Oryctolagus cuniculus: one gene and its partner. The protein of the gene in region 1 purifies or fractionates together with the protein of each later gene. This does not show direct contact. Links are inferred from orthologs where the notes say so. Each region holds a gene or a part of one and is shown on either strand. Other genes may lie near its edges.

Region 1 (3,013 bases):
TTGCCAGAAATCCTGGAAAGCGTGGAAATGCATCCGGATCTGAGGGGTGTAGGCCTCTGGGGAGACCTGCCCAGCCCTTCCCCCGGGATCCCGGGAGAGCCATTCAGAACCTTTGGGCTAGCTGAGCTCTGGTTGCCGTCACCACTCAGGGCCTCAAGGATGGGGCTACTAGGTGTGGGTTGGGGTGGGGTGGGGGGCTGGAATCAAGAGAGCCCTGGCCTCTCCATTCCCCTGGGCCCTGCTCACCACTCATGGGAGATGGCCTCTTCCGCAGTGATCCGCTGGTCTTGCTCTACCTCCATCAGCCTTGTGACAAGGTCTTTGGCTGCGGACAAAGCCAGGGAGGGGGAAGGCATGGGTGCCCCAATGTCACTGTCTACAGGTGGTGAACGGGCAGCGAGGCAGGAGCAGAATCCAGCTGAAGAAGCTGGGAGCAGAGGCCCCCTCCCCACCGCTCTGCACTCACGTGCTTGGGCACCTCCTCACCTGCCTGCGAAATATCATCCCAGTATGGAGAGTCAAACTCATAGTCACCAGCCAGGATCTTGCGGAAGAGATTCTTATCATGATTCTCGTAGTCGTCTTCCTCTACCTCCTCATAGAAGGGCGGGTTGCCTGAAAGCCTGCGTGGGGCAGGGTCACCCAGGACAGCACAGACACAGGCCCCACTCCACTTGGCCGCAAGGCTGCTTTGCTAGTCTACTCACAGGATGTACATGATGACTCCAATGGCCCAGCAGTCCACAGGGCGTCCATACCGCTGCCGACCTACCACCTCCGGGGCTACAAACAATGCTACTGTTTAGTATCAGGTCTGACTAGGCCCAGTGCCATCCACACCCACTTCCTCGAATGGGGACTCCCTTTCCCCCACCCAGAAAGGCTGCCCCCATCCCGCCCCTGCCCCACCATGTGCTTGCCCAGATACTCGGGGGTCCCACAAGGCTCCTTGATGAGGCCATTCTCTAGCTTAGCCAGGTGGAAGTCGCTGATGACAATCTTGGAGTTCTTCAGCCGGTTGTAGTAAACCAGGTTCTCCAGCTGCCCCGGCCAGGAATGGCATGTGGGTGGCCAGAAGCAGACACGAGTAGACGTAAGGGGCTGGACCAAGACCCCGAAGTGCTACCCAGCCCAGCCCAACCCAGCCCAGCTCCCTTTGACTCTGGCCCTGGCCTCACCTTGAGGTTCCTGTGCACAATCTTGAGTGAGTGCAAGTAGGCCACAGCCTCCAGGACCTGCCGCACCACGTTGCTCGTGTCTCGTTCCGAGTAGTAGCCCTGGTCCAGGATCCAGTCAAACACCTCCCTCCCCGTGGCCCTGAGGGACACCAGCCCCTGAGCCCGGCGTGGGCAGGACCGGGGGTGGGGCAGGAGCACTTGGGTGGGCTGCATTTGGGTCCCCAAGGGTTCAGAAAAGGGGGCTTTCCTTAGCTGCAGAAGGCAGGACGAGGGAAGACCCCGGGGACTGGGGAATCCTCTCTGACCCCAGGCCCGCACTCACAGCTCCAGGAAGATGAAGTATTCCTTGCGGGTCACAAACACATCCACCAGCTGCAAGATGTTGGGATGCTTCACCCTGGCAGCAGGAAAAGGAGCCAGCAGTCAGGGCTGGGTAAGCCCCTGGTCACTGCAGCAGCTCCAGCAGACTAACCGGCCAGAGGCGGGCCAATCCCGAGGCCAGCTGCCTGCTCCCTGCCAGCCCACCCTTTCCCCAGGCCTTACACTCACATCTTCAGGATGCCTATCTCGTTCTTGGCTGCCTTCCGCACCTTGCGGCCATCCCGCTTCTGGAACTTCTTGCATGTGTGCAGCTTGCCCGTCGTCTTGTCCTTGGCCCGGAAGATCTCACAGAATTCCTCGCTGCAGCCAACAGGCGATCCCCTCAGCCCTGGCTGAGCACGGGCTGCACCCCAGTCCCCCTTCCTCAGTCCTTGCCCGCCCTTGCCCAACAGGCCTGAAGCACTCACGTCTTGATGACTTGTCCCAAGTCATATCTGTCGGTTACCTCCGATGGCTGGTTATAGTTCTTCTTGTCACCCAGAGTCACACACCCAAACGGCATTGCCAGGCAATAAGCTGTGGGCAGGAGGGGTCCGGTTCAGCTGTGCCACTCCCACTTCCTCCCACCACATGGTGGCTGCTTTGAGAAATCCCAGCCTGGCGCAGGCCACACAGGGGCAGATCAGCACGAGGAGCGGCTCGAGAGCAGGCAGACTCAGTTCCTACCTCTGCTTTTTGGGTCATAAGTCCAGACACCCAGTTTGACTTCCTGAACTACAATAGCCCCCATTTATGAAAAATGTGTTAAACTGTCGTATTAGAGGATAGTTTTGCCATTATTGACACTCAAAAGACTCCAAGACTTTCTCTAAATTTTAGCTGCTTCACAGATGAAGAGGGCTATAATGGCCAACCCACCAGATACTCACTTCTGAAGGTCTGGAGATCCCAAGCATTGGTGAAGATGTGGAGAGCATGAGCCCTGCTGGGAGAGGACCAGTCTCCCCATCGGGAAGCAGTGTGGTAAAACCACAGATGTCAAACACACCCCAGGACCCAGCCATCACCCCCCTTCACAGATGCGCCACAGACAGGCAGACATGTGTGCACCAGGACACTCGTACAAGATGGCTCATAGTGGCTACATTCATAACTGCCAAATCGGACAGAGGTCAAATACAGGGGATTTTCAAACAGGTAATGGAAAATGTATATTATGAAAAACTAGGAACAGATTTGAAAAGCTTTGTACCAAAAAAAAGTTTATCATTTAATTGTACTTTCCATGATCTTTAGAAAGTATGCTTGTATCTACTAGCAGGGTGTATTGTGGCATACTCACATAATGGCATAGCAATGGAAATGAAAGAGCTACTGCTAGACCCAATGGCATATTAAGTCTTTTTTAAATAAATACTTACTTACTTACTTATTTATTTGAAAGGCAGAGTTACAGATAGAGAGAGAGATCTTCTATCTACTGGTTCACTCCCCAAATCGCTATAACAGTTAGG
Region 2 (3,652 bases), on another chromosome or scaffold:
AGACTATTTTTTAATATGTCTAGCATTCTGACCATGATCCATCATCATAGGACAGGTGTACAATTTTCCATTTGCAGCTTCCTGTCAATGCTTAAAGTTTCAGATCTGAGAGCACTCTGGATTTTCAGCTTAGAGGTGCTCAACCTGTTCTATATATACTGTTGGGCAGGGTGGAGGAAGACATAGCTCAAAGGTTTTAATGGAATACTATATTATTGGATTTTTCCAAGAATTTGGGCAGAAATTTTCAGATGAATACAATTTCACAAAGGTTATAAATATATACCAACCTACAACTGAAGGAATTATTCAGTATTTTACAGTTTTTCTAAAAATCTAGCTCCATAATCACTTTCTTTTCTTAAAAAATAAAATATCCTACCATATACTATCAAAGTCCACATTTCTCTGCAAATGCATACAATTTTAATAGTAAGATCCGAAATGAGGAGCACTGCTATCCGCAGATGACGGTGGAGGCGGCAGCGGGGGCGGGGGAGGGGGCGGGGGCAGGGAGTAGGGTATGTTGAGCATTGGATGAGGGGCCACGTTAGGTGCAGCCCAGCCCATGTTTACAGATGGGGGCGGCGGCGGCGGCGGTGGTGGGGGAAGTGAAAAATTATGCATGTCAAACACTGGAGGAGGAAAGGGGTACTGTGGAAGCATGGGATTCTCCTGCCTCTGAGCTGGATATCCTGAAGTCTCCTGTTCTGAGTTGTAAAACTGCTGAGGTGGCGGCCTGCCGTGGCAAGGTCGGGGATATCGGCCCCTGGCGAATCCTCGCGTGAATTCTCTGTTGCGAAATCCTTTCGCGTGCTCTGAGGCCGAGCTGTAAGCATTCCAATTCTGATGCACTTCAGCAAAATCATCACCTATTAGAGGGAAAAAGACATGAAAATACAATGAAGCACATTCAACATATTAAAAAATACTGTATGAAATTTCAATAATTTCTTTTCTTTAATTATCAGTATATCTTACGGCGGTTAAAATACTAAGTTTTAAAACTGTCAATTTTAAGGGAATTAAAAAAGCAAAACTTAAAGCCAAAGGATCAGGACAGATAAAACCACAGAAAACAAGAAAAACCATGGCACCACCCCCACCCACAATCAGAAAGGTGGGCGGGGAGTCTCGGCCTCCTCCTTCACAGACTGTAATGGGCTGCCCCAACCGTCCCGCCAGCTAATGTCAAGAGCAGACCACACAAGGAACAGCATCAATGCCTCCCCAAAATGACAGTGGAGATCTGCCGGGGGGTCCTAAACATCCGCCCCACCAACAACACAGTCTGCTCCCCTCTGGCACTAGAGCGGCGGCAGCACAGACCAAGTCCAGTTAGGACTTCATCCTCACCTAGTGGTCGTGAGGCTGTCCTGCATCAGGGTCAGTGAACACCATGAGGGAGTACGGGCAGAGAAGGGGTGTTCCTACCCCCACTATCAGGCACAGCCTAAGACCTCAGTCTTCTATCCTTGCCCAGCAGTGACAAAGCTCCTTGGCTGTGTTTCCAACAGAGGCTAAGAGGAAAAGCTGGACTTCAATCTGTTCCTTTCCGTTTCCCTACAAGATGGTGTTTAAGAAAAAGAAAACAAACAAACCCAGCCAAAACAGATGATTCACGTAAGACCCAAAGTCTCAACACCCAATATATCATAAAAAGGAGCAGGAAGGTTTCAAACTCAATGAAAAAAGACAGACAAAGCAAAGACATTAGAATTGAGAAAGATATTAAAAGCCATAAAATGCTGCATCAAGAAATGATGAACATACTTTAAAAAGTCTCAGAAAAAAAGAAGATTTTTTTAAAAAAGAATAAGAATCACTGAACTGAAATTTTTTTTTATTTGACAGGCAGAGTTAAGACAGCGAGAGAGAGAGAGAGAGAGAGAGGGAGGGAGGGAGGGAGGGAGGGAGGGAGGGAGGGAGAAAGGTCTTCCTTTGGCTGGTTCATCCCCCAAATGGCCGCCACGGCCGGCACGCTGTGCCGATCCAACGCCAGGAGCCAGGTGCTTCCTCCTGGTCTCCCATGCAGGTGCAGGGGCCCAAAGACCTGGGCCATCCTCCACTGCCTTCCTGGGCCACAGCAGAGAGCTGGGCTGGAAGAGGAGCAACCGGGACTAGAACCCAGTGCCCATATGGGATGCTGGGGCCGCAGGCGGAGATTAACCAAGTGAGCCACGGCACCAGTCCCCCGAACTGAAAATTTTAATTGATATTTAAAAACTCAATAATCCTAAAGGAGAACAACAAAACTAAAAGATCAACACTATCAAACGTCAAGATTCACCTACACAACTACAATAATCAGCTGGTAAAAGACCAACAGGACAGAACAGAGTCCAGTAATAAATTCATACAAACAACTCATCTTTAAAAAAAAAAGTGAATATAGACACAGGCCTTACCCTCTTAACTCAAAATGGATCACAAACCTAAATTCAAAATGTAAAATTATAAAGCTCTTGTAAGGTAACATAAGAGAAAATTTAGATGAAACTTGGAGTGAGTATGAGATTTTAGACAGGGCATTGACAATAGTGAAAAAAAACTGAAAAGCTGTATTTCATTGAAATTAAAAACTTCTGCTCTGGGACATACAAAATGAAAAGAAGAAAAGCCACAAACGAGGAGAAGGGCAGTAGTTGGCCTAGCAGTTAACTACTAGTCAGCACAAATGCACCCCACACTGGAGCACTTGGGTCTGATTTCTGGCTCGACTTGATTTCAGCTTCCTGCCACGGAAGACGCCTGAGGCAGTGGTGGTGGTCAAGTAACGGGGTTCCTGCCCCCGACATGGAGACCTGAACGGGGTTCCCAGCTCCCTGCTCGAGTCTCCCGGCTGAGGAAGGTTATCTGGAGTAAATCAGCAGATGGGAGCACTCTCTCCCTTTCTCTCTCCCTTTTTCCTCCTGCTTCTCAGAAAAATTAACAAAAGAACTATCTAACAAAGAACTGTTGCACAAAACAGGCAAAGATACGTACCAAAGATGGAAAATAAGAACATAAGAGGAAGATCTGTATTGTATGTCATTAGGGAAATGCACACAACGACATCACTACACACATACTGGAATGACCAAAATTCACAACAGTGGTAGCACAAACAGTGGTGAGGATATGAAGCACTGTGATCTCTTGTCCACTGCTGCCAGGGGGCGGGCACTGTGATGCAATCTGCAGGGCCACATCTCATATGGGTAACGGTTCAAGTCCCAGCTGCTCCACTTGCAATCCAGCTCCCTGATAATGAGCTTTGGGAAGGATGGTCCAAGTCCCTGGCCCCCTGCACCCATGTGAAAGGCCTGGATGAAACTCCTGGCTTCAGCCTGGTCCAGCCAAGGCTGACATGACCATCTGGGGAGTGAATCAGCGGATAGAATGTGTGTGTGTGTGTGTGTGTGTGTGTGTGTCTCCATCTCTCTTTCAAATAAAATAAATCAATCTTAAAAAAACATTGCGTAGACAAATAAGTCAATGAAACACTATCACTGACACAGAATATACCAACGTAAATACAGTGAAATACAGTCAAGTGACTTCTGACAAGGGTTCAAAAGTATTTCATTGGAAGAACTATACTTCTTTTTTTTGCAAATGGTGCAAGAATAAATAGGTATGCATAGTAAAAGAATGAACACTGATCTAAGCT

Evidence for each region. Proteins that work in one complex are often made in the same cells at the same time.
Region 2: the proteins of CAMKV (region 1) and NAF1 purify together in Homo sapiens (affinity purification with mass spectrometry; 3 studies listed by BioGRID and IntAct, with this or other methods). This does not show direct contact. The link is inferred for Oryctolagus cuniculus from reciprocal best matches to the Homo sapiens genes CAMKV and NAF1.

What each region holds. Positions count from the first base shown.
Region 1 is NC_091441.1:99,398,306-99,401,318, reverse strand, and holds part of CAMKV (caM kinase-like vesicle-associated protein), read right to left. Parts: intron 2,076-3,013; 5' UTR 2,062-2,075; coding exon 1,967-2,061; intron 1,860-1,966; coding exon 1,728-1,859; intron 1,576-1,727; coding exon 1,501-1,575; intron 1,318-1,500; coding exon 1,179-1,317; intron 1,042-1,178; coding exon 921-1,041; intron 784-920; coding exon 708-783; intron 624-707; coding exon 487-623; intron 326-486; coding exon 247-325; intron 13-246; coding exon 1-12. UniProt on the Homo sapiens protein: Does not appear to have detectable kinase activity.
Region 2 is NC_091439.1:133,990,968-133,994,619, reverse strand, and holds part of NAF1 (H/ACA ribonucleoprotein complex non-core subunit NAF1), read right to left. Parts: intron 873-3,652; coding exon 427-872; 3' UTR 1-426. UniProt on the Homo sapiens protein: RNA-binding protein required for the maturation of box H/ACA snoRNPs complex and ribosome biogenesis.